Coturnix japonica: one gene and its partner. The protein of the gene in region 1 binds, or shares a complex with, the protein of each later gene. Links are inferred from orthologs where the notes say so. Each region holds a gene or a part of one and is shown on either strand. Other genes may lie near its edges.

Evidence for each region.
Region 2: the proteins of SEC31A (region 1) and PDCD6 are in contact, whole or in part, in a crystal structure (PDB 3WXA), measured with the Homo sapiens proteins. The link is inferred for Coturnix japonica from reciprocal best matches to the Homo sapiens genes SEC31A and PDCD6. Residues at the interface, in NP_001070675.1 of Homo sapiens: Asn837, Pro838, Pro839, Pro840, Pro841, Gly842, Phe843, Ile844, Met845; in NP_037364.1 of Homo sapiens: Val31, Val35, Leu48, Ala51, Leu52, Ser53, Asn54, Gly55, Thr56, Trp57, Phe85, Trp89, Ile92, Gln96, Phe99, Phe148.

What each region holds. Positions count from the first base shown.
Region 1 is NC_029519.1:41,242,403-41,247,100, reverse strand, and holds part of SEC31A (protein transport protein Sec31A), read right to left. Parts: intron 3,902-4,698; coding exon 3,703-3,901; intron 2,895-3,702; coding exon 2,799-2,894; intron 2,249-2,798; coding exon 2,108-2,248; intron 1,329-2,107; coding exon 1,186-1,328; intron 524-1,185; coding exon 424-523; intron 1-423. UniProt on the Homo sapiens protein: Component of the coat protein complex II (COPII) which promotes the formation of transport vesicles from the endoplasmic reticulum (ER).
Region 2 is NC_029517.1:80,106,805-80,112,109, forward strand, and holds the end of PDCD6 (programmed cell death protein 6), read left to right. Parts: intron 1-236; coding exon 237-281; intron 282-1,027; coding exon 1,028-1,186; intron 1,187-1,371; coding exon of another isoform or gene 1,372-1,412; intron 1,413-1,684; coding exon 1,685-1,794; intron 1,795-3,352; coding exon 3,353-3,451; 3' UTR 3,452-3,906; downstream 3,907-5,305. UniProt on the Homo sapiens protein: Calcium sensor that plays a key role in processes such as endoplasmic reticulum (ER)-Golgi vesicular transport, endosomal biogenesis or membrane repair.

The DNA of each region.
Region 1 (4,698 bases):
AAGTTTACCACTACAAGAGACATTTAATCTCAAAGAAAGGATTTGTTCTTTGCTTGTCTACTAAAGTTTTGCTGAGGGGGCCAAGCAGTAACTGCATCACTGTCTCCCAGGAAAAGGTTTTTATTTTACATCAAACTATGCAGTATGAGTCACCCAAACGTAGAGCTCCCCAGCTCAGAATCCAGCTTGGATCACACACCTGCTATCCCACCTTTTGCCTTACACTTCTGCAGCCAAGTCTGGATTCTGACAGCACATCTCTCCCTGTCTGCAGAATGATCTTGCCCACACAACAAGCAAGAAGTCCATATTGCAAAAATTAGTGAAAGTGCTTGAAAACAGATCAACTGCTCTTAAATTGCTGCTTTACATAACACCATGACACCTCCAAACAGTTTTTAGTAAGTGATGTGCATACAGTACCTCGCCCGTGTTAGGGTTTGAACACAGTATTTTGGCATCCTTCCCACAGCTTAGTAGCAGCTCTGAATCTGCCATACTCCAAGCAATAGCCAATATACCCCTGTGTGAGAAGTCACAACCAAGTAACATATTAATACGAATGCAAAATGGTGATACAGCATGTTTGTCAGCAAGTTGCTACAGTAGCTGAGCAGTCTACGTCAAAATGTCCTCCCCACTCCTTCTTCTGTTTTTTGCATGAGTAGCTGTAAAGGTACAGTCACCATAAATAAAATTCAATTAAATAAAATTAAATTCAACACTTCTGTATGCAGATATGGTTACCAATCCACTCAAATGGTTCGACTGATTGCACCATCATTAACACATTTTATGCAAACTAATAGGTTGAAACAGTGATTATCAACATTCTGACAGCTTTTTATTAGCAGAAAATCTGTATCAGCTGAGCGACTGGCAGCAGTTTTGGCGGTAGCTGCAACACAGACACTGCTGCTCTTTACGTAAATCAATCTACTGCCGACCTTGCAGTCCAGCTGCTTCTCAAACAGAACAGAAGCAAACCAGGAACTTTAAAGTTATTTTTAATGTGAGGCCCATTCCCTTCCAGCCAGCAGTATCCAACACTGCTTGCTGCTGGAAAGTGGCTCCACCTAAGCAAGCATTGGTAGGGAACCACACAAACAGTGAGATGAACTAACTGCTATAGTCATAAACAGTGTGAACATTAAAGAGCAGCAGGTCACAACAAGCGTCTCGTACCTCGTATGGCTTTCCAAAACACGCAGTGGAGAGGAGGTAAATCTAAGGTCCCACATCTGAATCACGGGTAACCTGTCATCCTCCGAAGCCAAAACCATCTGGGTAGCAACATCGGGGTGCCAGGCCAGGCCCGAACAGTGCATCTAAGGGATAACATTGTGCCACAGCACAGGGTAACCACATAGTGCTAAAGGACAGAAGGCCACCAGTCTAAATAGATTTGCAAGGAAAACACAATCTCAAGATGCCAATTAGCAGCTGTACTTCTGGATGTTGCTTCTGACTGCACTGAGATTGGGATACTGTCCTCATCTCCACGAGCGAGACTTGGAGTGAGATCCTGAAGGCTCTCCTGTTTATAACTGTTTTAATACAAGAATACTGTAAAAGCAGCTGAACAGAGTTTTTTCACTACTTTAGTATTTATTGGTATTTTAATAAAAGCCATCATTACGCAGAGGCTATCATCACATGAAAGCTCCATCAGAGCATTACAATTACACAGTGAAAACAGCTTACCGTACTGCTATTACATCAAGGAACAGATATGTAAAATATGAAGTTAGGAAGCTTATCTGAGCAGGAATGCAGTGACCAAGCAGCTCATTCAGGAGCACACACACGTAAATTTTATCCTGAACTTGCTACACCCTCAGTGTTTTTATAGCAATACTCACTTATATTTATAACAAATCATACAAATATTTCACTCTCCATAAGATAAGTGGGCTCTTTTCTGTATTGACAGCATGGGAGGTGTGATGGCTTTAAGCATATGGGAGTAGGGGTAATCAGGTCATGGGTTAAATTCTTCTGTGGTGTTCCATCACCACGACCTATCCTTGCCAAGCTCTGCCAGTGACATCCAAGCCACCTGCACTTCCCTGTAAGTACCGATGCAGTTGTGCCAGAGCTAACTCACCCGGTTGTTGTGGTCGCTGACTTTGATGATGGGTTCATTTTTCCTGAGATCCCACACAGTAGCTCGACCGCTGGGGCTGGCGGAGGCCAGGATGTGCTGGACTTGCCTGTTCCACGCAATGCAGCTGATGTCTTCAAGAGGCTGCCACACAAACAGCACAGCCTGTCACACCCTTTCCAAAATAATGTCTTAAGGAGTGGGGAAAGTTTGTTAGCTTTTCTACTTCCTTCCCCCAGAACAGAAAAGCAATGCTAACCCAGCCCTTCTTGGCGCACTGCATTCCCTAAAGTCAATAAGCACATGGACTAAAAGACTGCACAGCTTAAAAACAGACCTCCCAGCACAGAAAATCCTACACAGGAATCCTTAACAAAAGCAAGCTTCCTTCAAAATGACCACATGAAAACAAACTAAAGTCACTCAGGAACAACATACAGCAAAGGAACTTGGTTTTACTTACATTAATATGAAGGTATTCGTTATTTGTTTTACCACATAGACTGTAACTAAGATTGCCAGAAATGCAGCTCACTGTTAATTGCAATTAACTGATACTCAAGTTAAATTTTAACACTCTCCCCCACCCCCAGGCAGCTTCAAAGCTGTCGGTCTTAATGAGCTCACATCCTAAGTAACATTCGTGTTTTCCATTAGTTTACTCTGCAGTATTTCATGAATACCTATCTAGTACCTGTGTCTTTGCTCCCGGAGTCATCGGTGTGGCAAAATTATTTAAGTCCCAGATATAGATTTCAGACTCATTAGCACCAGAGGCCACCAGATTAGTCTGTAAGACACGTTAAAATATGGTAAGAGTATTTTCAGCACCAGCTTTTGCAGTCTTAGCCACAGACTGACGAGTCTGTGCCAATTTCTTCTTAAGGGAAAAGCAGCAACACCAGAGATTGAAGATAAATGCCAAGTAAGTAAAGGAACTCCCCACACCAAATCAGACCAGTGTGCCAAGAACAAGATTTCTGTCTCACTGAGGGTTCCTCCACTGCATGGCAAACATGTGAAGAAGCTACAGCCACAGAGGGCCCAGTGCTGACATTTCTAGGATAGAGCAGATGGGGAAGCAGCATTTTGCCCCAGGGCCGGGCTGGCTGGAGGGAACATGGCACTTGAGCCTCCAGCCCAATCCTGTGGCCAGGATGCAAACATCCAGGCAGTGTGATGTGGTTTAGTGGCACCGAGCACCCTTTGTCTGCATCCTACAGCCGCTGACATGCAAGTCCTAACTTCATAAGGGACAGAAAGAGAGGAAGCTCTTCAGAGAAGGCACAATGAACAAAGGGTGGCCTTGCTAAAAGTAAGTGTGTATAGACAGAAGCGTTATTTAGGAAACAAAATCAACTCAGTTCTCATGCAGCTGGTGGGGGGCTGAGGAAAAGCTGACCCGCTGAATCTAGAAGCAACTAAACTCTCATCAGCAAGTGAGAAAAGCTTGAGAGTTCTGCCTTAAGAGGCTGCACCATGGTGTATTTGCTCTGACTCCCTTTTCCAAGTGAAATATTTAGAGCTGTGTGTGGCAACAATCTGTTAAAACAGGCCACTCATCCAAGACTGAACATGATAAACAACCGAAAACCCACCTGAAACATGTTGACATCAAGTGCTCTCACTGGTCCCGTGTGCTTGTCCTTCTGAGCAATTATCACTTCGGATTCTCCAGCTATGATTTTGGCTGGGTCATACAGAATGACATTCCCATTCTCACCCCCAGCAATCAGGACTCCAGAGACTCTCTCGCCTGCGGTCATGCTGTGAGGCCCCCAGATCAGCTTGTGGTACCTGCACGACAGACAGACACAGGCTGCAGCCATCCAACACCATAATACGAGCAATAAGCCTGGAGGTGAGCCTCTGCTATCTGTGGGCAGCTGGTTGTACAAGGGAGAGAAAAACAGATGGAGCTGGAAAAGAACTCCCAAACCTTTTCCTCATCAGTGCTCCTGAAAGTGCAAATATTCCATCTGTAGTACTAGACGCTCAGCAAATGACTTACATCAGAAACACGTCACTTGGACCGCTATCTATTTCCCAAGCTGAATTAGAGGAATCAAATACACTTCCACAAGCCCTTTCAAGCCTCCGTGCCACTGCACAAAAAAAGCCCACACATATTTCCTTCAAACCAAACTTGTTGAATAAACAAAACAGCATTCCTGGGTATTAGACCACATAAAGCATAGTTTTCTTCTACATATAACAACACACTACCACATCACAGATGTTAGGCAAGCAGAAAGCTTACACTACACTGACGAGCTACTTTACGGTATCAGGCAAACCCTTTCTCTGGGTATCCTGATTTCTGTAATTCAGCGTGTAACTAGGCAAGGGTAGAAGAAATGGAACAATCAACAGAGAGGATTAGTATTGTACTGTCAGCAACATTCAACAGGCCTTAAGTATCCTAAAAGAAAACAGAAAAGGCTGAGGAACAAAAACGAATTAATCGTGTAATCGTTTTCCTTTTGCACTTTGCCCTTTTCAAGATACGGTTCTATAACAGCCCCTAGAAATTTTCCATGGGAGGACAAGTAACAGAACCTGTTACCACATTCAATTTCTGTCTATTTAATTTG
Region 2 (5,305 bases), on another chromosome or scaffold:
ATGTTTTGGGGTGTTTTTTTATGCAGACTGAAAAATGTTGGGTTTCTGTGCAACATTATTAGAGCATTGGTCAGAAGTCATCAAGACCACAGTTACTTCAAAGCAGCTTTGTTAAATGAGGAGTAGCTTGCTTAGCTCTGAATTCACTGTTTCTAGTTCTTATGGCTCTTTGCTTGCTGTTCAGTTGCCTGTTTTGAATGTTGCCTCAAGGAACTGAGTAATTCTTTCTGTTTCAGGCACATGGACTCCATTCAATCCAGCAACAGTCAGGTCAATTCTCGGTGAGTACGACTGCGTGCTGTCAAGTAGGCAAAGACCCTGCTGGTTTTTCAGCTCCGGTATGAGAAAGCAGTCACTGCGGAATCAAATATGTACAGTTATCACAATACGTGTACAAGGTGTTTTTCTACTGTAAAGTTGAATACATATTTAAAGGTCTGGTGAACCAATCTGGTCATAGTGTTAGTGAGCTGGTCTGTGACTGTAAAGATGCCGTGGTTTTCTAAGTCTTGTTGTTTTTTTCTCAGTAGTTGGAAGATATCAACTGAAGTATTGACCCTTTTGAACTGTAAATGAATGCCCTGTGTTTAAAACTTGCTCAGCAGCAGTCAGCATTCCATCCCCGTGCAATGTGCTACCTCTCCATAAAGGGGATGGGATCTGTAAGCCAAAAGCTGATCAATGTTCCAATGCTTCTGGCAGTCCGTAGACATTGTAGGCTTTCTCACAAGTCCTTAGAGAAGAGCAAACCTCGTTTTCTCATTCTGTCACTGGGTTATCCATCAAACCCTTTGAAACTGGAAATGAAAAACCAGGAAAAATAAATATTGTGTGACTCACTCTGATTTTCTTGCTCAATTCTTTCCTCCTTTGGCGGACGACTTAAATATCACTTGTATTTTAGTAATTCCTCGCCTGTTGTCAGTACTCCCTAAAGCATCTCACTTCTGTCTTAAAGCACCAGCACATCTTCCCGAAGACCTGGCAGAGCTGAGATTTTTATATGGCTTTCTTGTTTTTATTTCAGGCATGTTTGACAGAGAAAACAAAGGCGGTGTGAATTTCAATGAATTCACGGGAGTCTGGAAGTACATCACAGATTGGCAGAACGTCTTCCGAACGTATGACAGGGACAATTCTGGAATGATTGACAAAAGTGAACTAAAGCAAGCACTAACAGGTTTTGGTAATTCATTCGTAATTACAGTTTTTACGATACCACATTATGTGACCTCAGTATTGTCAGGGCTGCTGCTGGGACGCACGGCTAGAAATAGAAATGAGACAAGCGAAAGGCAGTAGGATGAGGAACCTCTTAGAGGCGCTCTGCCCTGGTTGCAGCCCTGTTGCAACTGTTGGCTTGCTTTTTAGAAGTATTTCCCCGTATGGAGGAAATGAAAGCGCACTTGCTGGTACGTGTGTGTGAACTGCTTTTTCCATTCTGCTAGTAAACCAATTGTCACTTCAGTCCATAACATGTACTGTGTGTAACTGTTGTTATTGACCATGGTTTCTATTGCATGCCTTCTGTCTGTACACCTGTGTTGTTCAGTAGATGTACTTAGCAGGAAAAAACAAAGCTCTCGTAACTTGTGTTTTCTGCTTCTGTTGCCCATGCCCGCCAAACCACCTAGCAGAAAGTCTGTAGTAATTGAATCATCCTAAAGGATTTCTCTTGTCCAAGGTTACCGGCTGTCTGATCAGTTCTACGATACCCTTATTCGGAAGTTTGACAGACAAGGAAAAGGCCAAGTTGCTTTTGATGACTTTATTCAGTGCTGTGTTGTTTTACAGGTAAGAAAGGAGATGTACTTTTAATGTCAATTGAAAAAAAAAACAACACCTGTCTTTTCTCAAACTTTTATGGTTCTCACTTTATAATACTGAAACTAGAACGTGCTTGTGAATAATCATCCACTTGAATAAAGCGTACAGGAGATGACAGAAACATCTCCAAGTGTACATCTTCACTTGTTATCCACTTGCATCCCATACAGATAAATCTTTAAGCTCCTTTTGACCTCTTAAGTATTTTTAATGGGATGATAAAAAGAAAAATATCCTCAGGAAAACATTCAGTGCTCTTTTCATTAGCTCTGATATACAGTCTCTTTGGATCTAGGATGCATTCAAGCTGGAGCGTGTTATGTCCCATGTTGCCCTCTTGAGCATACTCCAATCTGCAATCTAAGTTGTGAGGATTTCCTATCTCTGCCTAAGGCTCTGATTTACAACATTTTGGACTAACAGCTGAATTATTTGATCTTTTGTCTCTGCTGTTCCTGCAGGGGCAGTGGTAGTAAAAGACATTCTAAACAAAATGAAACAAAAGCCAAACCAAACAGCAACAGAAAACCAACCCACCCTTTCAGTTATAGGAATGTTTATGGGGAGCAAGAGAGAAGGGAGAGAAAGAGACTATCCCTCTGCACGTATACTCTTCTGTTTAGAAATAAATCACCCAATGGTTTCTCTAAGAGTCTGTAGCCTTCATGAAACGTAGACAAGACTTTGAGGGAAAGTTGGGAAAGTTCAGCAATGGGCAAGCTCCATTTTAGTATGCTGGAAGATGAATTTTTCCTTTTTTTTTCCTTAGTACAACTAGTGTTTCCATGGCACCTTAGCTATCTTCCACCTTGCAATAATAAAGAAATAAGGCTCTGGGGTTGGACTTAAACACTATCTCCAGAGGTCCCCTCCAGCCCCTACAACTCTGCTTCTGTGTAACTGGTATCCTCATCATCTGCCTTAAGCGCTTTGTTCTTCTTTAGTTTTATGTTTACAGCCTTATGTCACATGCTGCCACTGAAGCACGTACTGCTTTTATATTCACTTGCAGTATGAACCAATTTTGATTTGCTATGAGCTTAAATTCTAGTGAAGAGGGCTTTGCTGTTGCTCATCATTCATGTGCTGTCAGTGAAACCACAGCAGTAGCTGTTCTGCTCCACTGCCAGCGCTGCCCGTCCGCTGGGGGATTGCTGAGAGACAACCAAGGTATTAGTGATGCATTGAGCAGACTGGGCTAGAAGACAAATAGTACTCTTTGGATCCTGCCTACAGCTGACTCTCAAAGGTATCCAGAGTTTCACTTTGTTCCCACCTCCTGAAGAGCCAGATATAAAGAGCGCTCTGGCTTATAAACAAGTGCTTAGGATAGGCTTAGGTGTGTCCTGAGATAGATAGGTAACAAAATCAGATCCAAGCATGAGACACAGCAAAAAGCTCCCTCTGTGTGCCTGGCCCTGTGTTGTGTCTAGAGGGCACAAAGAAGCAGCATTCATACATGGAAGTGTGGCAGTCCGATCTTCCCCTGTGTACAAAAATGTTTCTTCTTTCTCTACATTTTTAGAGGCTGACTGATGTATTCCGACGGTACGATACTGATCAGGATGGCTGGATTCAGGTGTCCTACGAGCAGTACCTCTGCATGGTCTTCAGCATTGTATGATATCGACACCTGGGAATCCCGCACTGGCATTACACAGACTGGAGCTGCCAAATCATCATGTACTGAATAAGGTTATCGATGTATTGTAACGGATATAATTTCGCAGTGGTAAATTTTGTATGTACATCAGTCATTGCTTTCAGAATCAATGTTTGTTTTTGTGTTCTACAACTCTAAGATCAGCCATATCGTGCTTACTGTAGCACAGAAAGCACAGAGTCTAGATGTAACTAGATGGTGCCGTGTCAAACCTAACTTAACTTTCTTCCACATATCCTGCATGGGGACAGAGGACACTTTAGAAACGCCAAATTCAATTAACGCTTGTTAGTTTGTAAGAGGAAAACCTCAGAAGTTGCACAACATGTTTTGCATGTGCCTTACTTTTCTAAGAGTCTGATGTATTAATTTTTAATACAGAACTTAAAATTAAGTAAAAATGTGAGACCAACACATACGGTCTGTGTTTGTGCAGTTTGTTGTAGGCTGGTGGCCGTGTTCCCATGTTGCAGTTCTTGGGTTTGTTTTTTACAGTGCAGGGTCTATTTAACAAGGCTGGCCTTTTCTTCTCTGCTTTCTGTCTTTACTTTCTAGCTTCCTCTCTCTTTCAGGGTATCCTTAGGCCATTTGCAAAGGTAACGTCTTCCCACTGACTTCCACCACTGCATCTTCTTCAGTTGATTCCCTACAACCTTTTATATCCCCTGGGTATTATAGAGTATGGTTCCCTCTTAATGCAAATAATCCTTTTTGGGTTCAGAATAATCCATTCTGAAGCGTCCTTGATGGTCAAGCATTCTCAAAACCTTGCTTTCAATCTCATCATTTAAAATGGAAAACAAGCAAAGATCTATATAAAGCACTTACTTAAGGTTCCCTTTTACACGGTCATTTTCAAGAAGCAACTTGGAGGAAGTGAAATTTAACAAGCTCCCTGGGATTACCCTAAAAGAAAACTTCCTCTACCCAAAGCTGTTGTTCTTCAAGATGTATTTACAAAGTTACGGTATCTGACTGCTGTAGAACTTTAGGAGCTGTGCTGGTGCAGAAAATTCACCAGTGACCAGCTGGAACGGCTCACCTCAGGAGAAGAGCTGCTGAAGGTGGAAAAGCAAGTAACCTGGCTGGGAAGTACACAAGTTACCCCCTCAAAGCATGTTTGATCCTGGATTTTTATCACTGGTGTTTTAAGGAAAAGTACAATTGGTTCAAAAGGCTCTGGTACAGCCTCAGAAATGCTGCCTTGTGCCAAAGGGCGTGGTGTAACTGCACTGCTGCTGATGGACAGCAAACATTTACAGTGCGGTCTGCAGCCCATCAATGCCTACCTTGTAAAGCTTGCTTCCTAAAGAAGGCCCAGTGCCCAGGGAAACAGGAACATACACACAGCACTCATTCTGTTCCAGTGCTCTACTACATGGGAGCAAGACAGGGCACAGAGGTTTCTTGGGAGCGAGCAGCCAGAAGCTGACACAAGGAAATTAGCCAGCACAGGGAAACAGAAACAGGAGGAGGTCTTCTCTTATATAACACTATTGGAGAAGTGACTGAAAGGATGACACAACTTCCCTCCCCCTGGGACACCCCTCATCCTGTGCAACAGGCAGGAACCAGAAACTCTTCCCCAGATTGAAAAATAAGGGAATGTGGAAGAAGAAAGAGCATCTTCTTGGGGAAGACATCATTCAGCCACTGTGTGCCGCTGGGATATACAGTGCGTGCAGTAAAATCCCACAAGGAGTCCAAAGTAGAAAAAAATAAACCAACTATGGAGACCTCAGCTGAAAACACCTTAACTTTGATTCAGTTTTTCTGCGTTTCCAGAAACTTACTTACTTGCACTACACTTCCTGG